Elephas maximus indicus: one gene and its partners. The protein of the gene in region 2 interacts with the protein of the main gene of each other region in a pairwise test. Links are inferred from orthologs where the notes say so. Each region holds a gene or a part of one and is shown on either strand. Other genes may lie near its edges. The genes, in order: SMAD7, PIAS4, SMAD1 and SATB1.

Evidence for each region.
Region 1: the proteins of PIAS4 (region 2) and SMAD7 interact in a two-hybrid assay, tested with the Homo sapiens proteins (2 studies listed by BioGRID and IntAct). The link is inferred for Elephas maximus indicus from reciprocal best matches to the Homo sapiens genes PIAS4 and SMAD7.
Region 3: the proteins of PIAS4 (region 2) and SMAD1 interact in a two-hybrid assay, tested with the Homo sapiens proteins (2 studies listed by BioGRID and IntAct). The link is inferred for Elephas maximus indicus from reciprocal best matches to the Homo sapiens genes PIAS4 and SMAD1.
Region 4: the proteins of PIAS4 (region 2) and SATB1 interact in a two-hybrid assay, tested with the Homo sapiens proteins (2 studies listed by BioGRID and IntAct). The link is inferred for Elephas maximus indicus from reciprocal best matches to the Homo sapiens genes PIAS4 and SATB1.

Annotation. Positions count from the first base shown.
Region 1 is NC_064829.1:57,560,109-57,568,624, reverse strand, and holds the start of SMAD7 (mothers against decapentaplegic homolog 7), read left to right. Parts: upstream 1-5,408; 5' UTR 5,409-6,608; coding exon 6,609-7,221; intron 7,222-8,489; coding exon 8,490-8,516. UniProt on the Homo sapiens protein: Antagonist of signaling by TGF-beta (transforming growth factor) type 1 receptor superfamily members; has been shown to inhibit TGF-beta (Transforming growth factor) and activin signaling by associating with their receptors thus preventing SMAD2 access.
Region 2 is NC_064821.1:7,060,201-7,067,610, forward strand, and holds the start of PIAS4 (E3 SUMO-protein ligase PIAS4), read left to right. Parts: upstream 1-4,163; 5' UTR 4,164-4,275; coding exon 4,276-4,302; intron 4,303-7,410.
Region 3 is NC_064831.1:39,417,760-39,425,208, reverse strand, and holds the start of SMAD1 (mothers against decapentaplegic homolog 1), read left to right. Parts: upstream 1-4,003; 5' UTR 4,004-4,020; intron 4,021-4,221; exon of another isoform or gene 4,222-4,310; intron 4,311-5,278; exon of another isoform or gene 5,279-5,367; intron 5,368-7,449. UniProt on the Homo sapiens protein: Transcriptional modulator that plays a role in various cellular processes, including embryonic development, cell differentiation, and tissue homeostasis.
Region 4 is NC_064845.1:21,471,987-21,480,298, forward strand, and holds the start of SATB1 (DNA-binding protein SATB1), read left to right. Parts: upstream 1-5,160; 5' UTR 5,161-5,381; intron 5,382-5,390; exon of another isoform or gene 5,391-5,660; 5' UTR 5,661-5,749; intron 5,750-8,312. UniProt on the Homo sapiens protein: Crucial silencing factor contributing to the initiation of X inactivation mediated by Xist RNA that occurs during embryogenesis and in lymphoma.

The DNA of each region.
Region 1 (8,516 bases), on a different chromosome or scaffold from region 2:
TATTTATTGGGCTGTCTGTTCCGGGTTAGGACTTGCACCTGACTGATATCTAGAATGACTTTTGATTAGGACCAGCATGTTTCCTCCCTGACTCTTGCCAGGGTCATGACGAGGCAGTCTCCACCCTTGCCGTCTGGGATGAGACATTGGCCTGTGTTGTCATCGCCTTCCTGTAGTAACCGCCCCGCCCCACAGAAAGAGAGAAGCTGTCTACAGGGGCATCACTCCCACGGGGACCTCGCCGACTTATCTTTTCCGACAAGGACATCAGAAGAGCAAATTTCAGGAAATGAGGAAAGCAAACAGGGGGTTTTAACCATTTAAAATTTATTTTTTGAATAAGTAACACATTTGCATGGCTCAAAAGTCAAAAGACAGAAAATTTACATACAGTGAAGTTTGCCTCCCAGCTCTGTTCTGCAGCCACTTAGTTCCCTTCCCTAGAGGAAACCACATGTCTCCCTCTAAACACACACACACACACACACACACACACACACACACACACACACATTATTATCAGGTGCTCTCAATTCCAACTCATGGTGACCCTATATGACAGAGCAGAACTGACCCCGCAGGGTTTCCTAGGCTGTAATCTTTACAGGAGCAGATCCCCAGGTCTTTTCTCCTGCAGAGTGGCGGGTCAGTTTAAATCTCCAACCTTTCATTTAGTAGCTGAGTGCTTAACCATTGCACCACCGGGATTCTCTCTCTTTTTTTTTTTTTTTAAGCTGTGGTAAATATATATGCAACAAATCGTTTGCCATCTCAACCTTATTTATGTGTACAATTCAGTGGCACTAATTATGTTTATCAAGTTTTTCAACCATTACCATTATCTGTTTTACGTGCCCATATATTTGAAGGTCTCAGGTCTTCTCCTTCTTTACTTCTTCTGGATGTTTCTCTTATCTCCTCTGTAACAAAGTGTATTTCATCCTGTCACCCCAGTCTCAACCCCCGGTACCTAGTTGGGTACACTGGACAGCCACCTAGCAGACGTTATGGCTCAGCTGACAGCATGTCTGCAATGCAAGAATATTTGATGAGTCAGGGCTTACAGCACCTTTATTTGACAGTGAATTAGATGCGCGTTCATTCACCTATGTTCTTGTTCTTCAACCATAACCCAAGAAGTGCTGCTTGTCATATCAGCCTCACTCCAGCTTTCTTCCTTTCATAAACCATGGCTTTCATTTGTATCATTGCCAGTTAGGGATGGCTTAGGGCTCACTCACACATTTTTCAGGGGACGATTGTGCAAGAAATGTCGATATTTTCCAACACTCTTTTGGCCTCTTCAATTGTTTCTTCTTTTGGTTACTGTGAGAACAAAATCCTCATCCCTGCCTCACCCCTGGCCTCACCCCCACCAACACGCACCCACATGCACTTTGGGGGCGTCTCTCTGCCCTTCACTTCCCTGAACCATTGACAACCAGGAAAGAACTGAAAGGAAGAATCCTATGCAGGAGTTTTTCAGCTTTGGCTTAGGGTTGTTGCTAGGTGTTGAGAATTCAGGAAATTCTCCTTTTTCTCCCTTCCCTTTCTTAAATCAGGCTTATTCTGACAGGCTTCCTCTTCCCCTGGCAGTTGTCGAGGGTCACCTGTTTCTTCATCTGCTTCTCGTGCACTTTGCTGCTTTCCATCCGCGTGCACTCTGGGGATTCCTGAATGCTCAGAGACCACAGGCCTTGGAGAAACTTCCTAGGGTTTCCTCTCTCCACTTAGCCAGTGTGTCAAGTGGCAGCACCTGCCCCCCCTCCCAGGTGCTGGGGGTGGGGTGGGTGGGCAGTGATTAAGTAGCTAGCCAGGTCTTTAGCTGACTCCATCCTTGTTTGTCATAACTCTGCCGCAAGTTATTTTGGTCTCTGTGACTTGTGGCTGCACCATGATTAGGGTTTGATTACTATCACCAAAGTGACTAAAAGATGAAAATAGAAGCCACAACAGGAAATAAACAACTGCAAATGAGATATTTTATTCCATATTCCCTGCCAGCAAATGATTAGAATCAAACTCATTCACAATAGTTTGGTGAACTCCTAAACTTTTTTTTTTTTTATTAAGAGGATCAGAATAGTCTTGAGAAGCTGTGCTTGTCGGTCATATTTGTACACGTGGAGGGAAAAAAGGAGCTCCCTTTCTAGGCACACCCGCCAGCCAGAAGTTCCCCTAGTGCCTGCTTCTTTCTTGGAAAGGAAAGGAGTAAGAATGGGATGGGGTGGGGCTGGCACGCAGGAAGGCTCCGGATGTTAACTGATTCAAGGGGTGCCAGGGAGCTATAAAGCAGCCCAGAACCAACAATTGTAGCTACTTGCCCCACATCCCACCCATTTTCTACCCAGCATAGTAAAATGGAGGAGGGAAGCTGCGTGGAGAAGGCAAGATAGGAATGACGCCTGAATTAAAACACCCACAATTACACTATATGGGAACATACCTCTGCAAGTACACGCATGTTCCACCCAGACAAGCTGTGACGTCAGATTCCACTCCAAAACTCCCGTTAAACCTACTTGCCCTGTGTGTGCTCTGGCCTCACATGGCGGAGAGATTTAGACGTCAATGGCCAGATTTCCAAAAGATTCTTAAGATCCTCTAGTTAGCCAAGAAACGTAGTTAGAAGGTATGATACTCGCTTTTTCTGTTTATGTACATCCTTCCTGCCATTTTGTGGCCCGGCCTAGCCTCTCTCAAAAAGTGAAGATCTGCTAGTGAGGCTCAGAGCTGAGAGACAGAATGGGACCCAAGAGGGCAGGCAACTTGCTCAGGAAGCTTCAAACCCTGCCAAGTGCTCGCCTAACATAAGGATCATTATTAGCGCAAGTTGCTTTACTAGTGAGGGGCTCTGCAGGAATCAGGTCTTCTGACTTCTAGTCTGGTACTGTACTCTTTCTAAGCCTTCCTGAGGTGAGTGTATTAGACATTTCCCAGGCACCTCGAAAATCTCATTTCTGTTTCTTCTGGTTGTATCTGCCTATGATGTTAGAATCACCCAGAACCAAATCTCCCCCTTCTCCATTTCCTCCTGGGCTTTCTTGGCTGCTGTCTTTGCAGACTGTTTCTTCAGAAAGTTGTACACACACAGTTTCAATAAGCAACATTTTTATCTACAACAAAATTCTGATCTTATACAGTTGCAGTCTAGGTGGCCTTACAAAGCAAATATTTAGAATGCCAGCTCCTACTGCCTCCTACATACACGTTTCTGCACCGCTTGGCATTCTGCTATCTTCTAGATTAATAAACTTCAGAGCTCCCTTGTCGGAGATGATCACGTAACCAATGTTGCTCATTTCTTCTCCCCTTTATGTCTCCAAAGGTGCTTTTTGGGGGGTGTGTGGGGAAAGTGGTCCAAATGCCTCTTGAAGTCCTATCCAGCTCTAAGTGTTGATTCCTAAATATTTAGTAAGCATCTACCGCCTGTCAGACATTGGAGGGGAGGGGCCCTTAGCTGTAGGGGTGTCCAAGATTCATCTGTGCCTTTTAAAACTGTATCATTTAGCGGCAGAGATCAAACAGTGCGTTTTAGCGTTTCTAAAGATTCTTTAAAACCCCGTAGGAGTTTCATGGGGCCCTGGTGGTGCAGTGATTTGAGAACTAGGGCGGCGTGCTACAGCGCTAACCAAAAGGTCTGCGGTTCAATCCACCAGCCGCTCCTCGGCAACCCTATAGCCTATGGAGTAGTTCTAGTCTGTCCTATAGGAGTCGCTATGAGTCGGAATCGACTCGGCGGCAAGGTTTTTTTTTTTTAACGAGTTTCATTGTTGTACTGATCTCACAATTGTAAATGAGTTTTTAAAATCGTATTTCACTGAATAAAATGTGAGATTAGAATCACCATGCCAGCTAATAGCCTTACCGCTACTGATGCGTATATATTTAAATCATTACGTCTTTAGTACCGCCGGTTTTCACGCTGCAAAAGCGCTCCTGTTCTTTCTCTACCAATGCTTTCCTTACCCATTTGCCTGTAATGACCTGCCAGGTGGGTTATACGCTGCTCCCCAACCTGGGGTCAGGGAGTGACTCTCTGACCCTAAGCACCTTGAAAGCTCCGAGGACGAGGAGGGGCCGAAGTAGGCCCCGTATGCATATGCACGCACCGGGCAGATTGTTCAGAGGGTAATCTCCCCGCGCCCGGAGGCTGGCGGCGGGCGGCGGAGGTCTTCCGGGCCCTGGAGGAAACCTGCCTGCGGCAGGCAGGCGAGCCCCCAGCTCCCTCCTTTCTCGCCGGGCTGCTGCCCCTCGCAGCGCATAAGCCGGCCAAATGCATTCCAGAGCTGTGCGCTAGACGCACTTCTGCAGGCAGTCCCAGAAACCAGAGCCCGGAGCGGGAGCGGCGGGCGGGAGCGCGCGGCCGCCGCTGAGGTCACATTCGCGCCGCCTCCCGCCCTCGGCGGCCTGGCTGTTCCCTCCAGCGCACACTCCCAGGGCCTGGGTCCAGTCCGGTGTAAATGTCTTTTCAACAGAGACAGCCTTCTCCTCCTCCCCCTCCCTCCCTCCGGCGGGGCCAAGGAGCCACCGTCAGGCCTTTAAACAAAACGAATGAATGGAGTGCCGGGACAGCGAGTGCGAGGCTCGGGGTCCGGGTCTAGGTCGGGCCGCCGACCGCCTAGCTCCGCTCCCAAACTCCCGGCGAAGCCCCCTCTGCTCCCAGCGGTTCCAGTCCTCCGCTCAGCCGGCTCACCGGCGATTCTGGGAGCCTCTGCGCCCCACGCCCTCCCCCACCCCCCCTTCAGACCCGGGAGGGGGTGGCAATGGTGGGGGGGGGGGTGAGAAATAGCTTTTAGAAACCCGATCTGTTGTTTGCGAAACACAATCGCTTTTTTTTTTTAAAGCGACAGGGTGTCTAGACGGCCACGTGACGAGGCCGGAGCCGGGCGCGCCACTGCGCAGTGGAACCAGCCGAGCAGAGGCCCGGAGGGGGGGCGGGGGGGCGGGGAGGAGGCGGTGGCGGCGGCGGCGCTGGGGGCGGGTAGGGAGGGGGAGGAAGGGGGCGGGGGCGGGAGGCCTTGCGGGAGGCGGCGAGCCCCGGGCACACTCGCTCGCTCGCTCGGCGCACGGAGGACCCTGTCCCTGAGCCGAGCAAGCCGAGGCAGCAGGGCGCCGCGCTTGGTGTGCTCGCCGCGCCGGGGAGAGCTGCCCGAGACGGAGCCAGCCCGCCGGCGCCAAGCCGCCGAGCGCCTGGCCGCGGAGCCCCGGAGTGCGGCACTTTGAACCCCAGGCGGCGGCAGCAGGACCCGAGAGCCAGGAGAGGGCGGACGGGGGACAAGGAGGCTCCGGGGAGCGACGAGGAGAGTCTCGGAGGAGGAGGCGGCGCGAGGACACCGGGGCCTCCTGCCGCCGCCGAGTCGGGGCGAGCAGCCCATGCGGGGAGGCTCGGTGGACAGCAGCGGCCAGGGGAGGGGGCGCCGGCGGTCCCCGCATTAGCGAGCAGCTTGCGCCCCGGGAGGGCGAGAGCGCGCCGACCCGCTGGGGGCCCGCCGCCGCGCCGCCCTCCCCCGCGCTGTCAGCTCCGCCAGGCGCAGCCGCCGCGGCCGCAGCATCTTCTCCCCTGCGCCTCCGCCAGCCCGAGGAAGTCCCGCCTAGGGCCCCCGGGAGCGCAGGAGGCAAGACCAGACTCCCCTCGAATACCCAGATGCGGAGGATTGGAGCCACCGAGCCAAAGCTTTCTGTGGATTAAAAAATACACGATTTTTTTTTTTTTTTTGGCAGAAGATAAGGAGAGGAAGACCAGCGGGGCTGTGCAAGGAAAGAAGGGGGGATGTAACTCGTGGATACGGTTTTCCACCCCTCAAACATCTTGTTCTACTTTGTAAACATTTTTTTTTTCTATCCCAGTTCCAGCCGGAGACCTCCGGGGTGCGAGGAGGTTGTGTTTTTCATTTTTGGTTTTGCATATTACATTCTTAGCTTTTGAGCGAGCCTTCTTATTTCATGCGGGGTGAAGTCCACTCGGCCCCTCCCCTGAGTCTTCGTGTGCACGGAATTCGAGGAGATCCGGTTACTAAGGATATAGAGGAAAAAAATAAATCCCGTGCCTGCTTTTTTTTTTTTAATTGCTTGCTTCTCCCCACCCCCAAATTAAGTTGCTTAGCAAGGGGGAAAGAGGCTTTCTCCTCCCTCCAACAGCCCGGCCGAACGCCTTTCGGTTTTTGCCCCCGCGGATCTTCTATGTAGAAAGCCGAGGCTGGCGAGCCCGACACTCGGGAGCCGCTGCGGGGGGGCCTCTATTTGGGGAGGCGCCGACGGGGGCAGGCTTGGTCGCCCCCAGGGAAGCGGCGGCAGCTTTCCTCCGGGGCGCGCCGGGGCCCGAGAGCCGCGCAGGGCGCGGGCCGCGCGGGGTGGGGCAGCCGGAGCGCAGGCCCCCGAGCTCCGGCGGGCGCCCCCGGGCCCCCGCGCGCGCCCCGGCCTCTGGGAGACTGGCGCATGCCACGGAGCGCCCCTCGGGCCGCCGCCGCTCCTGCCCGGGCCCCTGCTGCTGCTGCTGTCGCCTGCGCCTGCTGCCCCAACTCGGCGCCCGACTTCTTCATGGTGTGCGGAGGTCATGTTCGCTCCTTAGCCGGCAAACGACGTTTCTCCTCGCTTCCTCGCCCCGCATGTTCAGGACCAAACGATCTGCGCTCGTCCGGCGTCTCTGGAGGAGCCGTGCGCCCGGCGGCGAGGACGAGGAGGAGGGCGCGGGGGGAGGCGGCGGAGGAGGAGAGCCGAGGGGGGAAGGGGCGACGGACGCCCGGGCGCATGGGGCCGGCGGCGGCGGCGCGGGCAGGGCTGGCTGCTGCATGGGCAAGGCAGTCAGAGGTGCCAAAGGTCACCACCATCCCCATCCCCCAACCGCGGGCGCCGGCGCAGCCGGGGGCGCTGAGGCGGATTTGAAGGCGCTCACGCACTCGGTGCTGAAGAAACTGAAGGAGCGGCAGCTGGAGCTGCTGCTCCAGGCCGTGGAGTCCCGCGGCGGGACCCGCACCGCGTGCCTCCTGCTTCCCGGCCGCCTTGACTGCAGACTGGGCCCGGGGGCGCCCGCCGGCGCGCAGCCCGCGCAGCCGCCCTCGGCTTACTCGCTCCCCCTCCTGCTGTGCAAAGTGTTCAGGTGGCCGGATCTCAGGCATTCCTCGGAAGTCAAGAGGCTGTGTTGCTGTGAATCTTACGGGAAAATCAACCCTGAGCTGGTGTGCTGCAACCCCCATCACCTTAGCCGACTCTGCGAACTAGGTAAGAAGTTCTGCGACCACCCTCTTCAACCCCCGCGCTCAGATGGTTGAATAAAAGCCCCAGTGCGCTGTGTGTTTTTGCAGCCACCTCTCCAGGGGGAAGTGTGCATCCCCTTCTGGCAGGAGACTTGGGAAAAGGCAGAGAAGGGACAGGGACATTCCCTGGGGCTTCCCTTCCAGGTTCTTATCTGTTGCCCCGAGGGAGGCTGTGGCATTGTTCGTGCACACGCTGCACAGACCTGCGGGTAGAAATTAGGCACCCTCATTTCCGCATCAGTAAGGGGATGCAGAGAAAAGGTGGGGGAGGGGGGGTTCACCCCTATCCCGCACCCGGAAAGGCGTTGAGGTGTGTGGCCGAGTTGGCCTCGGTCCAAGCCCGCCAAGGAAGGCTGGGAGAAGCAAGGAGTTGTAAAGGCTGCAAAGTCTTTTCTCTCTTAGTAAACAAGGAGAGTCACGACGGGCACAAGTGGCCCCGATTCTGCCGTGGGCGCTCAGCTTTGGGGCTCGGGGTCAAAGACGGTTAGGATGGGAGGCCGAACTTGATAATCCCCCCCAACTCTGCCAGCACGGGAGTGAAACAAAAACAGTCAGGCGAAGTTGGGTCTCCCTACTTTTTCCAGAACAGAAAAGCATAGAATGCCTATTAACTTGGCCCCCAGCGCCTCGGTGTTGCTGCTGCCCCTTTCAGCGCTGGGGCCTGGGCTGCGCGGCTGAGACCCGGAGCCTCCGTCCCTTTATCCTCTCAGCCACCTCCACTCCTTCACGTCTGTGCCCGGGGTGGGCCATGGTACACCCTAGGTCATCAGAGCCCAGCGCCTCCAGACTCCCTCCCGCTCGAGTTCACTAGAATACTTTTGGGGCGCGCCTCCCGGGTGGGCTGGGCCAGGGGAGCCCGGCGGCGGGGGCGGAGGGAAATTGCGCCCGGGGGTGGGGGGGTGCTCGGAGGGTGCCTTGTCGCCCCCCGCCCTTGAACTGTGCAGTGCGATGCCCCGTTAAGCCGCGGCCAAGCCGGTGGTTTCCAGCCGGGCTGGCCGAACGCGGCGGCGACGGCCGCAGACGTGGAGGAGCGGAGCGCCGGGGCTGGCGCCAGGCGGCCTCTTTTGTTTATCTGACAGCTAAATATCAAGGCAATCACCGCCTCGCGGCCCTGCCTCCAACCCCCACAGCTAAGACAAACAGTTGGGCTCAAAGAATGCCTCTGTTATCGTAAGTTTCTATCTCTCTTTCTCATGGCGCGGCCTTTATTTTCTCTTACTTTTTAAATTCCAGAGTCTCCCCCTCCTCCTTACTCCAGAT
Region 2 (7,410 bases):
GCTACAGCTGTTAACCAAGAGGTTGGCAGTTCGAATCCACCAGGCGCTCCTTGGGAACTCTACCAGGCAGTTCTACTCTGTCCTATAGGGTCGCTATGAGTCAGAATCGACTCAACGGCAGTGGGTTGGGTGGCTTAGATCAGGGCTGTCTCCAACATCTTTAGGGAATCCCCATTTTTGTCTCTTTGAGCCAGAAAATGTGATCTGTGATGGGAACTCTACCAGGCAGTTCTACTCTGTCCTATAGGGTCGCTATGAGTCAGAATCGACTCAACGGCAGTGGGTTGGGTGGCTTAGATCAGGGCTGTCTCCAACATCTTTAGGGAATCCCCATTTTTGTCTCTTTGAGCCAGAAAATGTGATCTGTGATCAAGATTATATGGTGATATAGAAGTTCTTGGGTTAATGCTTTCCACTGCTAACCAAAAGGTTAGAGGTTCGAGTCCACCCAGAGGTACCTCAGAAATAAGGCCTGGCAATCTACTTCTGAAAAACCAGCCACTTAAAACCCTGTGGAGTGCAATTCCACTCTGACACACATGGGGGCGCCACGAGGCAGCGTCTACTCCATGGCAACCGATGTCCTGGGATGGAGACGTAGGAACATATACATTGTGTTTACATTGTTATCTAGTTTACTTGTTACCTGTACTTATTGTGTATTTACATTGTTACCTATTTTAAGGCGCTTTAACACTAAACCTACGAATTTCACAGGTATACTTGGCCTAGACCTGATTCAGTTTACTTCAGTGCAAAAAAGGAAGTCAAGTTTCTACAGCTATGTTGCTAGTCGGCCTCTAAGAGATTCCAACTCTTGGCAAGCCCGAGTGTGCAGAGTAGAACTACTCTACAGGGTTTTCAAGACTGTAACTTTTTGGAAGCAGATCCCCAGGCCTTTCTTCTGAGGCACCTCTGAACAGCTTGAAGCACCAGCCTTTTGGCTACTAGTCACATGCGTAACCATTGTACCACCCAGGGACTCCTTCTATACCTATTAAAAAAACAAACCAGCTACCGTCGAGTGGATTCCAATTCCTGGCAAACCCATGTGAGTTAGAGTAGAACCATGCTCCGTAAAGTTTCCAATGGCTGGTTTTTTGGTAGTAGCTTGCCAGGCCTTTCTTCCAAGGTGCCTCTGGGTGAGTTCCAAGAGGTAACCTTTAGGTTAGCAGCTGAGCGGTTAACCATTTGACCACCCAGGGACTCCTCTGTACTTACACCTATATGTATATCACCTAACAGTTCAGGTGATTTGTGATCTTGGCTAAATTGGGAAGGATATGACTAGACTTGATGAATTCTGATTTAAAGCTGGCTGTATAATGGTCTTGTGGGGATTTAACATTTCCTCTCTATTTTTTCTGTCCTTAGTTGCTGTCAAGCCCACTCTGACTCATGGTGACCCAATGTGTGTCAGGGTAAAACTGCTTCCTAGGTGGTATGGATTGTCCCTCTAAAATATGGAAACCTTGGTGGTGTAGCGGTTAAGTGCTATGGCTGCTAACCAAAAGGTTGGCAGTTTGAATCTGCCAGGAGCTCCTTGGAAACTCCACGGGGCAGTTCTACTCTGTCCTATAGGGTCCCTATGAGTCAAAATCAACTCCAGTAGTAGGTTTTGATTTTTTGGAAGCCTTCAATCATGATTCCATTTGGGAATGGTCGTTTTTGTTATATTAATGAGGCAGGATTAGCATAGGGTGTACCTTGAGTCAATCTCTTTTAAGATATGTTGTTGGTAGGTGCTCTGAGTTCCATTCCAACTCATAGTGGCCCTCCTTACAACAGAATGAAATATTGCCCAGTCCTGGACTATCCTCGCTATTGTTGCTATGCTTGAGCCCATCCTTGCAGCCACTCGTCAATCTATCTCATTGAGGGTCTTCCTCTCTTTCATTGACCCTCTACTTTACCAAGCATGATGTCCTTCTCCAGGGACTGGTCCCTCCTGATAACATGTCCTAAGTACGTGAGATGTAGCCTCGCCATCCTCTCTTCTAAGAAACATTCTGGCTGTAACTTCCAAGACAGATTTGTTCCTTCTTCTGGTAGTTCATGGTATATCCAATGTTCTTTGCTAACACCATAATTCAAAGGCATCAATTCTTCTGTCTTCCTTATTTATTGTCCAGCTTTCATATGCATATGAGGTGATTGAAAATACCATGGCTTGGGTCAGGCACACCTTAGTCCTCAAAGAGATGCCTTTACTTTTTAACACTCTAAAGAGGTCTTTTGCAGCAGATTTGCCCAAGGCCAATACGTATGTCCTTTGATTTTGGGGTGCTAGCTCTCGTGGGTGTGGTGTGTGTGTGTGTGTGTGTGTGTTTAGCTCTCGTTAGGAAACCCTGGTGGCATAGCGGTTAAGAGCTATGGTTGCTAACCAAGAGGTCGGCAGTTTGAATCCACCAGGCGCTCCTTGGAAACTCTATGGGGCAGTTCTACTCTGTTCTATAGGGCTGGTATGAGTAGAAATCAAGTCAAAGGCAACTTTTTTTTTTTTTTTTTTTAAGCTTTCATTAATTGCAATTTGAATTTGTAGGGCAGGACTTTTGCCTGTTTTGTTCACTGCTGTGAACCTCAGGCCAAATCCAGAGTGGATTCTGTCTTTACTTAAAATATTGATATTTTATTTATCATGGAATTTTTCTGCATTTATTTCGATTTTTAAAATTTTTGCATTAACATATTTACCTTGATCACAGGATTGTTTGGTGCCTCCTTAATTTTTCATAAAATTTAACTTTGTTTTTGGTGAAAATATACACAGCAAAACATGCTCCCATTTAATGGTTTCTGTTTGTCACATATTGTTCAGTGACATTGGTAACATTCTTCATATTGTGTCAATATTCTTGTAATTTCTGCTCTAGTTATTTCACCCCCATTAATTTAGGACATAATGCTTGATAAAATAGAGGGTGAGCGAAAAAAAAACCCTCAAGGAGGTGGACTGACACAGTGGCTGGAACAGTGGGCAATGACTGTGAGGATGGCAGTGTTCCATTGTTATATACATGGGGCCGGTATGAGTCGGAAGTGAACCTATGGCACCTAACAATTTAGACTCACTGCCCACTAAGCTCTTCTATGCTTTAGAGTTACTGTTGTCGCTTTGGTCTCATATAGTGTTGTTTTTTTTTATCTCAATAGTTAAGGATGGTATTCTTTTTAAGCTAAACTTTTTTTTTGTTTGTTTGTATAAAGATGACCTCAGGAGATGGTTTTGGTTCAATGTTTGAAGAGTATCTCAAAGCAACAGTATCCGGGGGTTTCTCCAGTCTCAATGGGTCCAGGAAGTCTGGATTCTTTGGGAATTTGAAGTTCCAGTCCACCTTTTCCCCCTTGCTATCAGGATGCATCTAATGTGTCCCAGATAGAAACGTTTGGTAACAGTAGCTGGGCACGGTGCAGTTCTGGTCTCATGTTAGAGGAAGTAGTGGTTCATGGCGCCTCCTTAAATTTTGCGCCTGAGAATTAGCATCTCAGGGGATAGGTCTTGAAATAGAATACATTTATGTCCTCTTTCTTCCCGCTTTGGACACAGGAAAGAATGAGATCCGCTGACTATGGGCACTGGGGAGCCAAGGACAGCGTTTGAGCTCGGGAGGTTCAGGTCAGTGCAGAGCCGGAATTCCGAAGGGGTGGGTGGGGGAGACAAAACGTGGGGGGAGGCGCCTGCAGAAGGACGCGGGCTGCACGAGGGGCGGCGTGTGTGGGCGGGGGTCCAGCGTTTCTCAGGCTGGCCGGGCTGGGGGGCTGCAGAGCCCGCCCCCCGGCCAAGGACCCGGATGTGCGGCGCTTGGGGCGCCAGGTCTGCACCGCGCTGAGTGCACTGGCGTCCGCTTCAGTGGAGCGACCGTCCCCTCCCCCCACGCCGCCAGGCGTCCGGGCACCTACCTGGCGGGCGCCCGGCGCAGGGAGCCGCGGCACCTGGCTGCACTGTTGTCTGCGCCGCCCCACGCTCCCTCCCTCCCCAGATGGGCCCAACCTTCCGCCCCCACCTGCGCTGGACTCTGTCCCTTTAAGAAGCGAGACCCTGCCGCGGGTGGGCGTGGTCACCGCGGGCGAAGGAGGGGCGGCTTTGGGCCGCCCTGATTGGCTCGAGGCCCGGGCGCGGCCGCGCGCGCAAGCGCAGCGCGCAGGAGCGCGAGCCGCGGGGGAGGAAGCCGCGCGGGCGCTTATTGGCCCCGGCGGCGGCCCCGCCCGCGAGTGGCGGGCGGTCACGTGACGCGACGGCTGGGGGTCCCGGCGCTGGGGACGCTGGTGGCCAAGATGGCGGCGGAGCTGGTGGAGGCCAAAGTGAGTGAGCGGCGGCGGCGCCGGCCCGGGCGGGCGGGCGAGGGGGCGGGGCGCGGCCGGGCGGCGAGCCGGGGCCTGCGCCTTCCGCCCGGGGCCCTACAGCGCGGCCCGACGCCCGGGGTCCCCGCGTCGGCCCCGGTCCGGGTCCGGGGCTCGGGGTGCGGGCGGGGGCGGGGAGGCTGGGGGCGGGGTCCCAACACCTCACCCCCATCATGCCGCCCGGAATCGGGGATCCCCCAACCCGCTGCGAGGTGCCGCGATCCGGGGCTCCGTAAATACAGGAATAGGGCCGCTCCTCCCAGCTTGAGGCAGGGTCCACCCCGGACAGCGTGATGGCTTGGGGTTCTCGTCCCCTCCTCGTCCCAGCGGGGTCCGTGCTCTTGGGCCGGGAGGAGTGTCTGCGTCTCCCTTGCGCCCCCTCCCCATGCCATAGAGGGCTAGGATCTGGGGTTTATCCCTCGCGCAGTGAACCAGCTTAGAAGGGTCCCCTGACTGCAGCCGTGTGCTGCCACCGCCACCAGCCCAGGCTGCGGGACCAGGGTCCTAGATCACCACTAATACTGAGTCCGCTGGCGGGCTGTGCCCCAGGCTTGGTTTCGGGGGCCCCGCTGGGGCTCCTGCCTGAGTCCCGGAGCCCCGCCCCCTGGGGCTGAGCCATTCCCTGTTGTGGGTCAGAGGTCTCAAATCCTTCATCAGCCTCACGCCGTGGGTACTGCTTTCTCCTTCTTATTCCCCTCAGGACAGCATCGGGAGTGACTGACCCCGTTTCTAGGGGTTCTAAACCCCACGCTCATGCCATCAGATGCCACTTCCAAATCTTGGGTGTTTTTCCTGTGCTCTGTAGTAGCAGCAAACTTCTTGGCCTAGGATATCTTCCACCTCACCCAGCCCCAGGACTGGTCCTTTAAGTGGTTCCGATGTGGCTTGAGTCCCTCTTTTTTCCATATATTGGTCCTTGGAAGGTCCCCAGCTGGTTCCAGGAGAGGTAGGTCCCTGGGCTTCTTCCCGACACCCTGGATCAAGGATCCAGGCTCTGCACCCTCGGAGATGGTGGTCCCCTCTAGCAGCTTGGGGTCCCTTCTGACCATCCTGGGATAAAGCTGAGAGCATCCCTACCCAGGAATCTGCTTTCTTCCAGATCCTCCCAGAGGCGAGTTCCCAAAATGTTTGCCTTGATTCAGAAGTGACATAGGATAGAGGAGCCCAGAACTTCTCTTAGGACCTCATCACAGCCCTGCCCCGCCCCTCCTGGGGTGCCCTCCCCAAGGCTCCAACCTGCAAATGCATGCTTTTTTCTGCCCCTCCCTCTCTGCTTCTGCCTCCGTTTCTGCTGGGATCTGAACACAGCTCTCCTGGTTCTGGGATCATAGTGTGTATCTCCCCCCCAGACCCCCGCAGTCCACAGTCCCCACACCCCACATGCTTCTGCACTTCCGGGGCGATGGAGAAATCGCCACTTTGCCCTGGAGATGTGACAGCAATCACCCCACTTAAAGTCCCCCCAGAGCCCTGAAATCTAAAACTTCTCATGGGGCCATGGAGCTGTGACCCCAGACCCCTCCACAGCCAGAGGGTAGGGGCTGTCCTTTCTTATACTGTCCTGGACCTTGAAATGTGATCTCATGAACTCTGCTTGACCCATTGGCGGCTGGGGCCCCCTAACCCCAATTAAATCAAGTTGACCCTTCTTTCAAGTCCTGTAAAACGTGAGCCTCCCTTTGGGGAACTTGGCTCCAGCAAAGCTTCCCTGATCCTGGGCACCTTCTCTATCCTTTAGTCTTTTGTCGTGGTCCGGTCCCCGCGCCGCCCCCCCCCCCCCCCCGCCAGCTTAGAGTGCCTTAGATGCAGTGGAAATGCCCTCTGTTTTTCTTTATCTCTGGGACTCCCGAGAGGCTGCTCCCCTCTCTCCCCAGACCCTCCTATTTTCGAGCTGGATATTTGCTTTTGGGTGCAAAATAGAAGTGGGGTTTGTCTATAAACTTTGAAATCTGAGACTCTTCACTTGAAAACCACGAGGTGGGTTTGGGGCGGGGGTGGGGGCCATAGCAGCCTTCCACCATCTCCTGCATCTGCGTCTTGCCTTTTTCTGGAGCACAGGCCCACCACCTTTCTCTGATCTTCAGAGGAGCGCACGGCGGAGACAGGGTTCAGCACGGCTACTGGAGCTGGTGTCTCCACGCGGCATCCAAACACGTCCACTGTGTTCTGGAAGCTGTTCGTAGAAACAGTTCTGAGAGGCAGAGGGTTCTGAGAGGCGGGTGGGCCAGGATGAAGCCGCAGCAGGAAGTGCTCTCTGCGGCCTGTGAGGTTCTTTCTGAGCATCCATCCCCCCCGCCCTGCACCCCCATCAGCAACAAGGACAGGCTGCTCAGTGGTGGCAGCTGCTGGGGAATTTGAGGCATGAGCCTATGGAAGCCTGAGGGGTGTGCTGTCAGCTGCCTGTGCCGCCCTGTTCCTGCCTGGCCTGGGCGAAGGGTGCCTGGGGGCTCTCAGGGGTGGACTGATGCCGCTCATCGGTGTGGTCACGCTCACACACTGCTTATGGCTTAGTAGTGGGTGTCAAGTTGCCGCATGGTATCACCTCTCCCCTTTCAGGCCTTGGGGGTCTTCCAGAAGAAACATCTGCGTGTCTTTTTTTTCACTGAAGTTAGGAAGCTTCTGGACTCATTGAGGGCCAGCAGGCTGCTCAGGTCCCTGGGCAGGGGGTGTCCTGGTGAGGAGGGATCTCACAACACCCAGGCAGGTGGGCAAAAGCGGAAGGAAGATGGCCTCAGGAGCCAAAGGCTGCTGGCTCTGCCACTTATAAGCAGGGTGGCCTTGGGCCAGCCACTTCCCCTCTTTGAGCCTCAGTTTCCTTACTTGTGTAGCAGGTGAAGTTGTTACGGGATTTGCAATGTTAAAAGCTCCTACCTGGTGCCTGGCACATGTGAGGCACCGTACGTCTGCAGTGGCAGGAGTAGAGGGATGTGGGGAAGCCCCCATCTGATTTTTGTAGTCAGCACTGGGTTGCTTTGCTGTCTTGTCCCTGTCATTGGAGACCGGAGGTGCCTCCATCTGCAGCCAGACTCTAGCATGTAGAGCCAGAGTACTCCTGGCGCGTTTCCAGCC
Region 3 (7,449 bases), on a different chromosome or scaffold from region 2:
AGTTGTTTAAACAGAACAAGGGGATACTGCACAGTTTAAAGTCAGGAAAGGTGTTGTATCCTTTTGCTGTACTTATTCAATCTGTATGCCGAGCAAATAATCTGAGAAGCTGCTAAAGAAGACTATGGCATCAGGATATGCAGTAGGACTCATTAACAACCTGTGTTATGCAGATAACACAGCATAGCTTGCTGCAAGTAAAGTGGACTTGAAGCACTTACTGACGAAAACCACAGCCTTCAGTATGGATTACACCTCAACATAAAGAAAACAAAAATCTTCACAGCTGGACCAATAAGCAACACCATAATAAACAGAGAAAAGATTGAGGTTGCCAAGGATTTCATTTTACTTGGATCTACAATCAACACCCATGGAAGCAGCAGGCAAGAATTCAAACGATGTATTGCATTAGGCAAATCTGCTATAAAACACCTCTTTAAAGTGTTAAAAAAGCGAAGATGTCACTTTGAGGACTAAGCTTAGCCTGACCCAAGCCATGGTATTTTCAATCGCCTCGTGTGCATTTGAAACCTGGACAATGAATAAGAGACTACAGAATTGATGCCTTTGAATTGCGGTGTTGGGGAAGAATATTGAATATGCCATGGACTACCAGACGAACAAACAAATCTGTCTTGGGAGGTGTACAGCCACGATGTTCCTTAGAAAGAGGGACGGCAAGAATTTGCCTCACGTTTTTTGGACATGTTGTTAGGAGGGGCTAGTCTCTGGAGAAGGACGTCATGCTTAGTAAAGTAAAAAGTCAGTGAAACAGAGGAAGACTCTTGATAAGATGGATTGACACAGTGGCTGCAACAATGGGCTCAAACACAGCAACAGTTGGAAGGATGGTACAGAAGAGTGTTTCCTTCTGTTGTACATAGGGTAGCTATGAGTTGGAACCAACTCCATGGCACCTAACAACAAAAGCAACAAGTGAAACATCCATAGACAAGCAGGAAAAGAGGATATAAAATATGTGTGTGAGGGGTCGGGAGGGTTGCTGGAGTGGCCAGGGCAAGCATCACTGAAATGGGGGCAGTTGAGTAAAATCTTGAGGTGAGGGAGTGAGCCAAGTGGCTGACTCTGGTAAGCACTTTCCAGGGAAGGAACAGCTAGTGCAGAGGTATTGAGGCGAGGGTGTGCGAGGGTCGTTCCAGGGCTAGTGAGGAGGACAGACATACTTGAGGAACTCATCAGGAGTAGGACACAGGTCAGAGAGGTAAATAGGGGTGGGGATTGAAGATCATGGAGGGTCTTGCGCACATTGTGAGAACTTCTACATTGAATGAAAGAGGAGCTGAGAGACAGAAAGAGAAAGACAGAGAGAGGTTGTTTGTTTTTCGATACAATGATGTTTAACAGACAGTCCATATTCAGGTATTCACTGTTGTTCCAATAATGTCCTTTCCAAACATGTACCTGAATGTTTACTACCACTTGAAGAAATAACTTTCACAATGTGCCAAATCAAATTCCATAGTATTTGTAGTATTAATAGCTATTATTTGGGATTACTAGTGGTGCACTGAGAAAGGCCGTCCACAGGTTAGAAAAAACATGAACAGCTTTATAATATGATTTTATCGCTCTTCCCCTCAATCCAACATACAAGCGAGCACCATATGCTGCATTTAGTTAAGTGTTTTTTAACAGTTTTATTGAGATATAATTCACGCATTTAAAGTATACAATTCACTGGCTTCGAATATAGTAACAAAGTTGTGCAAACATCACCACAAACTAATTTGAGGACATTTTCGTTACCCCCCCAAAAGAAACCCTATACCCTTTAGCCAGCATTCCTCCAAACTCACCTTTCTCTCAGCCTTCCAACACAACAACCAACCCACTACCATCCAGTCGATTCCCACTCACAGCGATACAGGACGCAGTAGAACTGCCCCATGGAGTATCCAAGGAGTGCCTAGTGGATTCAAACTGCTGATCTTTTGGTTAGCAGCCATAGTTTTTTACCACTATGCCACCAGGGTATTTCCCCCCTGCCTTAGGCAACCATGCATCTACTTTCTGTCTCTACGGATTTGCCTGTTTGGAACATTTCATATAAATGGAATCTGGAATCATACAATATGTGTCTTTTGTGACTGGCTGCTATTACTTAGTGTAATGTTTTCAAGTCTCACCAAGTTGTAGCATGTGTCAGTACTTCACTTCTTTTATGAATGAATAATATTCCATTGTATGGATACGGAGCTCTGGTGGCACAGTGGCTGCTAGCCAAAAGGTAGTCAGTTCGAATCTATCAGTGGATGCTTGGAAACCCTACGGGCAGTTCTACTCTGTCCTATAGGGTCGCTGTAAGTTGGTATCAGCACCATGGCAATGGGTTTGATTTATCAAGGATTTTTATCACATTTTGTTTATTGAGGAAGGATTTTGAGCAGAGGAATGACCTGATTGGACTGGCATTTAACTAGGCTTACTCTGGCTGTAAGTAGCCCTGGTGGTGCAGTGGTTTCAGTGCTTGGCTGCTAACTGAAAGCACACGTGGGTTTGAACCCACCAGCCACTCCTTGGTAAAAAGATGTGGCAGTCTTCCATGAAGATTTACAGCCTTGGAAAGCCTATGGGGCAGTTCTGCTCTGTCCCACAGTGTCGCTAATAGTCGGAACAGACTCCAAGGCAGTGAGTTTGGTTGGTTTTGACTCTGGCTGTTGTTCTAAGGAGCAGAGAGTGATCAAGTGTGTCAAATGCTGCTGGTAGGGAAAAGAAGATGAAGCCCAAGAATTGACCAGTAAGTGCTCAAATAGTTTAACAAAGAAAGCAATTAAGTTAGCAAAAGTATTCTGCTATTTAATTTATAAAGGGTATTTTATGAGTTTTATGGAATTTGTTGCATTTCCCTTGAAAAATTAAAATGGAATGAAAAATAATAATTATTAAGAAGAATTTAAAATGGTATGCCAGATTTCATAAGGGCATATGAACCATTGCAGAGTATCACTTATTTATGTAAGTCTTTGGTATTTTCTTTACTGTAAAAAATGGTGTAGGAATTCTTTTGGTTCATGTGAAGCTTATTCCTCAGAATAATTATTTTCCTCTATGCTAACTCAACAATATGGTAATTATCCAAGATTTTATGCCAGCTTCTAGAAGGTTGGCCAAGAGAAAAACTGACTCTTAAGAAAAGATACTTTCAATGTCTATGCAGGTCAGGTGGGTTGTGCAGATCAGGTAGATGAGAGCTAGTTTTTCTTTGCGGGGCGGGGGGGAGTTGTGTGTTCTAAAAGATAGTAGAAATTGGACCAAACAGACTTCTAAACTCCTTTCAGGCATCTGTTATTATTTGGAGCCAAGAAGGTGAACTATTCAAATTATTGGACCCCAAATTGGCACAAAACACATCTTTTGATTTAGGGTTGGTATGAGCGGAATCGAGGGCACTGGGTGGGTTACGAGTACATGGCCGGAGAAAGATGTGGCAGTCCGCTTCCCTGAAGATTACAGCCTTGGAAACCTATGGGGCAGTTCTGCTCTGTCCTACCGAGTCGCTGGTGAGTCGGAATCAACTACATGGTAAGTTTGGTTTTGGGTTGTGAGCGCATGCAATAGTTACTCGGTCATCCAAGTTTAGATACCCGCAAATTCTGAGGCCTGCAAATCATTCGGGAATGAGGGGCTATGAAAACTTGACCTAAGAAGAGGTCTCGGGAGATAATTGCCAAAAATACACTCCACGTTTACAGTGTGGTTCGGTGGGTGCGGTGGATGTGTTAATGAGTATTTCAGAAAATAAACACGCAGAACACTGAACTTCGCTAGCAGAGAATGCACTAAGACCTCAGCAGCTGGATTAAAAGAGGTAGGTTCAGGAAAGCCAGCACGCAGCGTTCTTTTTCCTTCTTGGGGCGTGGGGCTGGGGGCGGTCGCTCGGGCCGCTTCCCCGCGCTGTCCGCGGGCCCCGGCGCCGCTGCGCTCGGGCCGGCCCAGCCGGGAATTTGGAGAGGATCCCTGGTCGCGCGGCGGAGGCGGCGGCGCGCGAGTGCGCGTGTGAGCGAGCGAGCGGGCGGGCGGGCGAGTGCGCCGGGTATTGGCAGCGGTGCAGTGGAGGCTGGGCGGCTCCGACTCCCTGACGCCAGCGCGACCAGATCAATCCAGGCTCCGGGAGCAAGCGGGCGGGAGGAGGAAGGAGAAGCCGAGCGCCTTAGCCCGGGCAGAGGAACAGGGAGGCACCCTGCGAGCGGAGCGCGGCGCAGCGCCCGGCCGGCCGGACCCGGGCGGCGGGACCCCGCTCGCCCGGCCATTCGTGCGCCCGCACGGACGGGCGCGCCGCCAACCCGGTAAAACGAAACAGAACCGAACCCAGCTTGCCTTGCTGCCGTCTCCCCTCCGCGCCCGAGGTTTCCCAGAGCCGCCGCTTGAGCCGGCGCGGACGGCACGGGCTAGCGGGCGGGCCGGGGTGGTGCGGGGTCGGCGGCGCGACTGCCGAGGGGAGGGGGTTCTGCGCCGCGTGGGGCGAGCCGGGAAGCGGCCCCCTCCCCCACGAGGGCGCCTCCCCGCCGCTCGCAGGAGAGAACCTGCCACCTCGGCCGCCGCCTCCCTTCGCGCCCAGCCGGCCGGGCAGGGCTCCGCCGGGGTTCCCCTCGCGTCTTTGTTGGGTCTGCGCCGGAGAAGCCGCATTCCTTGGCCTTGGAGCCTCGCCCCCGGCCCTGCCCGCGGCGGGACCTCTCCGGCCGCCCTCCCCCTCCGCCTGTTCCCGGTTTCTCTTTCCCGGTCTGCAGCCGGGCCGCGTCCGTGTGCGCGGCCCGCGGACCCATTGTGTCCCGCGCCGGCAGGGCAACCCTTGCGGGAGTTGGAGAACCGGCGCCGGCGCTGCCGTTTACGGGCTCGGGGAGCGGGGCTCGCGGGAGGACGACACGGGTGCCCTGGCCCCTCCGCATCGCAAAGGGTTGCCTTGTCTGTCCCAACGAGCGCGCCTTTGGGGTCGAGGTCAAGGAAAGTTCGCACCGAAATTCTAATTTATTCAAAGGTTTGGCGGCGCGTAATTTTTTTTTTTTTTCGTCTTCCGCCTACGCCGCCTGCGTCTTCAAGTGTCGTCTCATTCCTTTCCCTTTACTGGATTCGATTGCCTCACTGCATGTGTATTTGTGAGTTCGCTGTGGAACAACTGTTCTTTTCCCTGCTCCCTGCCTTTGTTAGGTGTTCTCGGGGTTGTTTGTATTGGAAGATGGGGATGGTGGGTGTGAGAGAGACAGATGTGGGCTTGTTTTTCTAGTTGCTGAGTATATATGAAGGCTTCCAGGGAGAGCGTTTCCTTGATGTGCTTAGGAAGGGAAGAGGAACAAATGCCTGGCGAATCTTACAACTCCAGTAGCTGCGGCTCCTGTTTCTTTGGAGGTACATGCAGTTTTTAAATACACTGCGCAAGATAATCAGGAAGGCGCTTTCCTTCTGAAAACTGAGGCCCGTCTCAGAACCATCTCCTGAGGAAAGCAGCGTTTTCGTGAGTGCTGTGACAACTGGCCTTTTTCTTTTCACTCGTGTTTTTTTTTTCTTAATTGCCATTGTATCTCAAGTTTCTGAATATGTGGAATGATACAGAAGTTGCATGATTGCTGTGTGTCTTCTGTGGCTGAAACGCTTTGCACCTAAATCACAGAATGCCTTTATTTCAAAACATCTCTCGCTCAGATCGTCTCTCGTGGATAACATGCCCACACTTCAGTAACACAGTGAGAAAACTGTTCTCTGCCTGTGTTGATTTTTCGCCTTGTTTATAATTACCACTCTAAATTTTATCGGAGGTAGGTGAGCCGTATTGGAGGAACCACTACTTAAAAAGAACTGAGGCAGAACGGCTGTTCACCGCCCCAGAATTGGCATACATATTTTTGCACCAGTGTTGTATGATTCTGATGTAGATGCAAGGCCTGACTGTGCTGTTCTCATGAAAGTGTTTATCCTCCCTCTGTCTTTCCCATTTGCAGTTATTTGATATTTCTGTGAGGTGGTATACCATTTGTGTAATACTGCAGTTCTTAGGAAACGGTAAACGGGGTCGTTCGAGATGGTTTTCTGGAGATGGGTGATGTTGGAGCCTCTAGAGGATCCAGGCGGGATCAGGTTTCTTCTAAGGGTGGGGATTTGTCCTTGATTTAGTTTTGACCCTTCCAACCATAGGTATGTAACCAAATACGTTTTTTCTTCTGCAGTATCTTTTATACTCTTGAAAACCTGATGACCTTTGCATTCTAGAGAAATGACAGTTTTTAAGGAATTAACAGTGTCAGCCTCTTGCACCTTTTAGAATTGAAGTAAAAAAAAAATTTTTTTTTCTACTAAGTTCAGATGAAGCATTAAAAGGAAGTAAGGCACATTTTCCTAAATATATTTATGAGTTCCGAACTAAATTTCAGTTTGTAATTGCAATTTCTAGTAATTCTGGGTCACGGATAAAATTAATAATTTGGTAGACTGGGAAAAGAATAAACTTGATTCTAATTAGACGAGTGTATTTGAGCTGCAGTAGCCTACTTAATCAAGGCCAAGTTGTGTGTATAAAAGGTCTCATTTGTGTAGTCTTACAAGGCTAATGGAGGCATCACTGAAGCTTTATAAATAATGTAAGTTGTGTATAATGTAGAGTCTCAAGAGACGGCAGAGAAAGCATCATTACCAGCCTTTTCAACCTGCTTGAGATCTTAAATTGATTTACAGCACTGAACTGGTGCAAAATGATACATCAGGATGACTTGGGGTCAGCCTGTAAAAGTCTATGATGTCAGCCTATTAGTTCAGTCATCATAATTAAACCATATTACGGGGGCAGCTAAGCAGGAGTCTGGCGTTATCCTTCAGATATGGGTGGTGCATGAGTTTTGTTTATAGTGCAAAAGACTAAATGGCCAAGAACCCTAGTGTGTCTGAAGGAGGGGGAGGCTTATGGAACTCTGAATTTCTGAAAAAATTGAAAGTAAATGCAGAGATGTTCAGTCAGCATAGTATAAGTAGCTTTCTGTTTGGTAGTGGAGAAATAGATGCTTTGAGGGTACTGGTAAGGCAGGACCGCAGCAGCTCTGATCCGTGTACTGAATCATGCTTCATGTGAGCTGGAATTTAACTTGGCCTCGGGGACTTTCTAAAATACCAGCAGAACCCATATCTCTTATCTTATTAGCATGGGTTCTCACTGTATCGATGTATCAGCTGACATGTTATTTCTTTGACTAGTCATAATTACTAGGACTCCACTGAAACCAAACACTTGAACATATGAACAATTCAGGAAAAGAAAACTCCTGTTTTTGCTTAAATTTTTGGTAATCCTTACTCAGTTCGTGGATCATCTATGACTGTGTTGCACAGTAAGGTAGCCACTAGCGAAGAATATTGACTGTACCGTGGACTGCCAGAAGAATAAACAAGTCTATCTTGGAAGAAGTACAGCCAGAATTTTCCTTAGAAGCGAGGTGGCGAGAC
Region 4 (8,312 bases), on a different chromosome or scaffold from region 2:
AGCGACTGTCGTCTTCTGAGGGGATTGGTCAGTTCGTAGTCCTGGTGGGAGGGCATGCCTTGAAATTGACAAGGAGTTTGCTTACATAAAGGCCAACCCCACAAAGAATCAGGGGGGATCTCACTCCCATCAAGAAGAGCCTGGAGCAGGGCTCCTTTGGACCCAAGGTCCCTGCACTGAGAACCTCCCAGACCTAGGAGACAGAGAGAGTTGTAACACTGAAGACAGTGTGAGATGGCAAGAAATGGTGGTAACCACAGCAGAGGCCAGGACCAAAGAAACGGTGGCAGCAGTACCAGCAGTGAGAATCACGGGACTGGCAGATGGCTGCAGTGGTGCCTGTCAGCCCACAGAGTGAAGGTGCTGTGGTGGACTTGCCAGCCCACAGAACAAGAGAGAGCTGAGTGCCTTTAGGCAGGAGGCGTGCTTGCAGAGTGGGGTGACTCTGAGCATTTGCTGGCAGGGATAAAGAACTATTAACACTTGCTCGAGCAGGGCAGAGGCCTAGAGAGGGCCTGTAGGATGGTGTGGCTGAGAGAAGGACTATTAACTGGCATGGCCAGAGAAGGGCCTGCCTGTGGGCATGGCCAAGAAGGAGCTGAGAACTGTCCTGGTTGGAAGCTGTCCTGATTGACGAACTATATCCTGTCTCCTGAGTTGTATCCTGTTACTTCTAAACTGATCCTGATCCTGAGTCATAGCCTGTTACTTCCCTGATAAACCGCCTCATTTTGAGTATGGTCTGTGAGTTGTGTGTGGCCACTGCAATGAATTATCAAACCCAGCAAAGAATTAGAGAGTGCTGGGTGGGGAGATTGGCTGGTGTCAGAAATGGTGAAAATGTCTGACCTCTGCCTCATGGGAATCAGCTTTGGTCTGATCCTGATTCTCCTGAATGTAGACAGCCTCAGATGCTGCTAGATCACAAGGCCACTAAAAACTGGAATTGTTTGTTTTTCCAGTATAAGATAGCTTGTCCTGACTGATACAACAGATTTGCTCTGCTTTGCTGTAAATGGCAGAACTAAAGCTAATGGTTAGAAGTTTCAGGAAGACCAAAAAAAAAAAAAAAAAACCAAAACCAAACCCAGTGCCGTCGAGTCGATTCTGACTTATAGCGACCCTATAGGACAGAGTAGAACTGCCCCATAGAGCTTCCAAGGAGCACCTGGCGGATTTGAACTGCCAACCCTTTGGTTAGCAGCCGTAGCACTTAACCACTACGCCACCAGGGCCTCCTCAGGAAGACCAATTCTGTGTAATACAAGGAAAGAAAATCTAATAAAGCATAAAAAGATGGAACTACTTCAGAAATTATTCATTCATCCACACAATATATATGGAACTCTACTCTGTGCCAAGAGCTCTGTAGGTAAAACCCTTACCCTCATGGAGGCAAGTGGTGCGTTCCCAGTCACTCAGGACCAGGACGTGTGCACTGGATGGCCCCTCAGGGTTCGACAGCAAAACCAGCCTTTAAAATACCTCCCAACCTGGAGATTCCAGGAACTCTACCTCCTCTGTTTTAAAAACAAAAAAATAAAATCAATTTTCTCAAGTATTACTTTGATTCAAACTATTTACTGATTCACTGGGCTGTCTTTTTGACATTTTAATGTCATTTTCCCAGCAAATAAGTTCCTTGAGGGCCAATACTGTTTTGTTCCTCCTTGCATCTTTCTCATACTATATAGTAGGTTATATTTTGTCTGTTCTCAGAGGAAAACAACCAGTGTAGATTCTGACATCCCCACTGCCAATGAGTCAATTCCGACTCATAGTGACTCTAAAGGCCAGAAAAGAACAGCTCCATAGGATTTCCAAGGCTCTACGTCTTCAGGGAAACAGACTGCCACATCTTTCTCCCACGGAGTGGCTGGTGGGTTCGAACTTCTGAACTTTTGGTTAGCAGTGGAGTACTTTTACTATTGCGTCACTAGTGCTCCCTCTTTTGATATTGTTGCTGTCAAGTCAATTCTGACTCACAGCGACCCTGTAGGACAGAGTAGAACCACTGCTTAGGGTTTCCAAGGAGCAACTGGGGGATTCAAACCACCAACCTTTTGGTTAGCAGTCTGAGCTCTTAACTACTTGGCCACCAGGGCTACCTTTTGACGTTCACTACTGTTATTAACCACGTGACAGGTTTCAGATTTATTTGCCCTTCAATTATTTAAGTTAGATCTGAACTTGTTAAAAAAAAAAAAATTTAGAAGCACAAATGTCATACCCTAGTAACTTTCACACTGAATGCTCTTTTCTTCAGAAGGAAGGCTTAGCCCTGTACTAGTGAATTTGAGCTGAATTACATTATTTCATTACCCTCTTAATTCAGCAAGTATGTAATGAATTCCTACTACATGCCAGGGGTAAGGCACATACATTGTAAGAGTTTATCAAGATATATTATTTAATGTACTGTGGTCAGCATTACAAAATTCCATCTTATACTAAGCCTATGAACTCTCCGTACTAAGCTCTTTAGAAGAAAATAAAAGCAAGTTCAAAAGGTTTGGGGCAAAATGTTCCCTTGGTTCAACTCCTGGGTACATCTTGTACCTTAACTTATGTGGGCTCAGCTGATAACTTGGGGAAGTAGATGAATATATCAGTGTGTAAGAGACAAAAAAAAAAAAAACCCTTTTTTTTTTGTATTTCAGTATCTTTTAAGTTTCATTTCTGGCTTTTGGAATTGGAGAATCAGTTGTCTGTGACAAAAAAATTGCTAATAAGCAGTAATTAAGGACTGAGAATTTATTATTTCCATACCCAAACTGATGTCATTCTCAAATGGGAATATTGGTACTGGTTAGACAATTCAGCATTCTGGTAAATTAAGGCAGAAGGACTTGGTGACTCCTGGGATGTGTGAAGGCAGATAGTGGTCCAGGGAGGAAAATATGTGTTTTACTTCGCTTTGTCCATTGCAACATTCATACCCTTCTGCTTTACAGAAGTAGGAGTTGAGGTTGCCAATCATATCTTACAAAAGAGGGGGGCCAGTTGTCTAAAGAAACACACTCTAATTCATAAAACTTTTTATGTTTTTATGTCTTTGGAATTGTCTCTGCATAAAAAGATAATCAGCTGAAAAAGACAGATGAATTCCAGTGAATTCAATACCCATTGACAGAAAAGAACTGGCATATCAGAAAGCAGCAGGAATACATGCGCTGCTCTCCTTTATTTAGAAAAACCACACAAAAATACAACACAGTGGATGTGTGTGTTACCCAGGCTTGAAAGTTGAATCAACCGCTGTGTAAAAGATAAAATAAGACTGCACAGATATCAGGATTTTCCCAGCGTGCTTTATGACAGAAGAGGACCTAACAGAGCTTTTAGGAAAAACTGAATTCTCAGCCCACAGTCACTTTCCAGGAACTTCACTGCAAACAGTGCTCTGCGCTGGCAGGATGGAGATTTTAGCACTCTCCCTCCTGCTTCCCTAGATTCCTTCTCTCTAAATACAATTATTTATGGGGACTTAACAAGGGAGCAAGCCTTGTGTGAAAGGAACTCAAGAAAGTGCAGCTTCTAAAAATACATGGAGGCAGCTCCACAGTCCTTATTGTTTTGCAGTTCATGCCATGAACCTCACAACTGCACTTCTTGCCCCACACACACACACACACACACACGCACAAAGAGAAGGCTATGTTTTTTCTTTCCACAATCCTCCTAACCATGAGTAAACAGTAGTAATTTTCTGTTGTCATACTCAAGGCAAATTTCCCAAAGACAACACAAAACAAAAACAAAAGACCTGTTAAGCTTCCTTAGAGCTGGGGGGTGGAATGACAGGAAAGAAGGGGGTAAAGTTGATGGAGGTCCAGTTTCTTGTTAGCCAGGAGTCCTGAGCCTACAGTCACCCCAGATCTTGCAGAGAAGGTTTTTGAGGTTTCAGTCCCCATTTGCTAAGGTGTCCTTGCCCCTCTCCTCTCCCGAGTCCCCTGTCTATGACATCCTCTTTGCCCCTGCTTTTTGAGGGAAATTGAACCTCAGCTTAGGCGTCCCTTTCCAGTGGGTTGAAAAGAAGTACAGCGGCTGATGGAAGGATGAATATTGAAATAAATAGGCTGGGGCATGGCGTAGGGGTTTACAAAACACCCCTCTCCTCCATTCATCACGTGTTCCTCAGCTGGGGTGCAGTGCTACGGGTAAAGGGCCCGGGAGGGGCGAGAGTGGGGTGAAGGGACTCGGACATAGCAAGACTGTAAGGGAACGAGGCCCTCTAGGAAAGATCGTCTCGATCGAACACTGACGAGAGAAATAAATTGGCCCACATGTCCCTACTGGGGAGCGATACACCCCGCTCCGGATGGGTTTGGGGGTGCATCAAGGCCTCTCACCTGACTTCCTCCTCCGCTGGCACACACACTACAGTCACCCCCTCACTCCCCTCCAAAAAGCTCAAGCCAACAACGAACAACAAGAGGAAGCCGCAGGCGGCAGGAGGAGGGGTGCGAGCGGTGGGGGCCTGGAGAGGTGAGGGGGGCAGGGTTGGCGGGCCTGGAGACCCGCGCCGCGCACTCCCAAGCACACCCCCAAGCGCCCACACTTACCCCTCGTGGCCGAGGGTCCGGTCTTCGGCGCCAACCCCGCCGCGCGCCCCCTCGCCCGCCCTCGCCCCTCCAGCCCGCCGCCCCCCACACCCCGGCCGGCGCGCGGGGAGAGAGCCCAAGAGCGGCACACGGCTGCAGCGGCTCGGGCTCGGCTCGGCTCGGGCTCCAGCGCAGCCAGTGTGGCCGGCGGCCGCCGAGGCTCCACCGCCAGGGGGAGAAGCCGGGGCGGGCGCTGGGGAGGCGGGCCGGGCCCTCGCCGCCCCGCCGGCCAGCCCGCGCCGCACACGCTCCGAGGCGGCGGCGGAGGCGGCGGCGGCGGCGCGGGGTCCGCCGAGCCTCCGGGCGCAGCGTGCCGGGGCCGAGGCGCCGCGGCTGGATGCGCGCCCCGGGTGGCTGCGGGCTCCCGCGGGGGGCGCCCCGGCCGCTCCGGTGCGCTCCAGACTGCGGGCGCGGCGACCGCCGAGCGGAGAGCAGCTCCCGCCGGCCCCTTCCCCCTCCCGCCCCCGCCGCCGCCCCCTCCCCCTCCCGCGTTAACATCTCCTCCCTCCCCCTGCTCTTCCTTCCCTCGGCCCCGCGCGCTCGCTCGCTCGCTCCTCGCTTCTCTCTCCCCTTTAAACGCCCACTTCGGATGGGGAAAGAAGACAACTTGAAGTCAAGTTGCAATTAACTTCCGCGGCAGCCGCAGCTCCAGCGGCGGCGGCAGAAGGCAGAAGCCGCCGCCTCGGAAGTCCGACGCCGGCGCGCCCGCCCAGGGAGCCGTTCTGGGTCTCGGGCCCGCACTCGACAGCCACCGCCGTCCCCAACGCCCATGCCTGAGTGAGTTCTGCTCCTTTGCCTCCTTTCTCCCCCGCCCTCCTTCTTTTTTGCTCTTTCTCTTGCTCTTTTATCTCCCACTGTCTCTCTTTTTCGGAATCAATCCAAACTTCTCGGTGGCACCCACCCATGGTGCCCCTTGCTGGGGCGACTCGGCTCCCCTCTTGTGGGCGCCAGGCGGCAGGGGTCTTTCGCGCAGTCAGATCCCAAAGTGGTGGGCCAGTGGAGTGAGGGCGAGCCACCGGGATGGGGGACTTGAAGATACCATTCGTTCTCTCTTAGGGTGTGGACACACTAACACACCTGCCCGACAGACCCGGGCTGCACAAGCCCCTCCAGGACCTCGGTATGGCCTCTTTTGAAAGAGAAAAGTGAGTCGAAAAGACTGCAGGAAGTAAATGGGGAGAAAGGGGAGCCTCTCTGTGCGGCCCCCGGGCCCGGCAGGCAGAAAGGCGCGCGGCTGAGTGGGCTGGGGGAGTGGAAACGCTCCCCGGTCGGATCGCCGGTCGGCTCAGCATCCTTCCCCAGTCCATCTCCGCCTTCCTCCGCCCCCCATCGGCGTGGCTGCTCGAGTGCGGGGCGGAAAGGGGCCTGGGAAGTTTGTGGCAACTTCTCCATCCCGGGAGCCACTCCGGCACCGGGGCGCTCAAGTTTGAGCCGGGAGTTTGCAAGCCGCGGCACTGCGCCTTCGAGCCCTAGTCGGCTGTGGCGAGGTCGGTGCTGGAGGGACTGCCGGCAGGAATGTGGCTTCCAAGTGGGGCTGGAGGCAGGAAGGAGGTGCTTCCTCCTAGCGGGAGCTGGGGTACCTCAGGTACGGCCTCCGGGCCCGCACCGTGTCCCCCTCCTGCGGTCGGGGACCCAAGCGCGGCGGCCTTCTCCGAGCGCACCATTGCTGAAGTTCCCAGGGCGGCGGAGCGTGGGGGTTTGGAAGACTACCGTGGAAGGGACGAAACAGGCAGGTGGCAGGTCCGGGGAGTGACACGCGCGTCCCGGGGAAACGCATTCAGTAAGACACCTTGGGGATGACCCCAGGAAACTGAGAGGAGAAGGACGCAGGGCTCTTTCTCTTAGTTTTGGCTCCGGCCTCCCCCAGAGCGTTGCACATTTCACTTACAAGTGTCAACCCCAGGGTCGCCCTCAGAGTGCCCTGGTTGGCGACTTTGACCCCTGCGCCTTTCCTCCATGAACTTTCTCAGCGGCGTTCCAGACTTCCAGGCAAATGTGACTTGTACTCCATATGGTTGTGAAAGAGACAAGGGAATACCCAAAGATGCCCTATCCGGGAGAGAGTCTCTCTGCCTGGACTAATTGGGGTTCTGCGCCTGCATCCTGGGAGGCCAAGGGGACCTGACTTTCCCAAGAGGACAGAGAAAGGGGGTAAGAATGAGTAAAACACAGCCGCCCAGTGTCAGGTTTTGTCCTGAGCAGTCCCTGGAATTCACAATGTGTTTTGCTGCTGATGGAGTAACTCATCCCATTGAAACTTTATTGAAATTTACACCCTCGATAACGTGGATTTTTCTGAGATGTCAGGAATGTGGAATTCCTTCTGTACAGTCAAATGTAGCTGCACAAAACCAAAGCGTACTTTAAGACTGGAGAAAACCAAGGTTGAGGGGTTTGCTCTCAAAACCTTTAATCTGCTGTTTGGTGCTCGTGCAGCAGTCCTTTATTTCTATTGCATATTATTTTAGCAGAACGGTAGTACATTCATATACTGGCTGCTCCAGTCTGCTGGCAAACATTAGCATTCAAGCTTACATTTTTGACAAATGTGCAGACAGGAATAGCATGAATAGGCATCTTAAATATTAACAACCTAAGCATCTGTTGTGCAACAAATTTAATATATTTACTCTGTTTTTCTCACATTGTTAGAAAAGGTTATAATAAGTGCATAATTTCAACTTTAGTTAGCAGAAGTAACTGGCTGTATCTTTCACTACCTCTCCAAGTATTTAACACAATCACCAGACATAAATACTTTAATTAACTTGGTTAGGCATATTATTAAATACACTTTAGGCAGCGTGCATGCCACATAAAACAAAACACTGGCAAAATATGTGTCCTGTTTGTGCACATTTTAAACGGCTGTGCGTTTTATAAACATACCAAACATGTCTATTCCTCATCTCCATTTGACACTTTATTACTTCATATTTTTTCTAATGGAAACAGTATTTTAAATGTAGAGCTGTTCAGTCCTATGTAATACGTAATAAGTAAACAGTAGCTATAAAATACAAAGCATTGTTGAATTTGAATACGGCTAGATGTAACAAGATTATACAAGAGAAATAAAATCGCGGTTCAATTTTGTGTTCCTTTCTGAATAATGAATACAAATGGTGAATGAAAAGGAACAAATAGGGATTTCCTTCCTAAAGTACTGGTTCCTTAAAATGGAGTGGGTGGGGGGGGGGGGGGATAGAGAGAGAAGACCTAAAAAGACTTCCAAAAGTCTGAATAGTTATTTACAGAATCAATGCATTCCTCATTTTCCCACAAGCTGAAATATGTAATAAATAATAGTTCTTTGTATGTAAAAGTATTTAAAAGGAATGCCTTTTGTGCAGTTGTTTTAATAAATTAATATATTCTTTGGTTGATAAATCTACAAAAGTAGCTCTTTTGTCTCCCGGGATCTTAAACACGAGCAGCAACAAAATGAATATTGGTTTATTTCTTCTGCAAAGGAGTCTGTTGCCAGCTCTGTGAACCTGATTGGATAAGATATGAAAATGCTGAGTGATGGTTGAAGCCTGCATTAACTTAGCTAAGACTTAAAAGATCAGGAGAAGGTTTTCAATGATCTTTTTTTTCATGTGGCAGGTTGTGGATTGTAAATTAGGCCTAAAAGGTCAGGTGACAGGCACCTGTTCCCCATTATTGTAAAAATCTCTTGGTTACAAACACTATCAAGCTAAACAC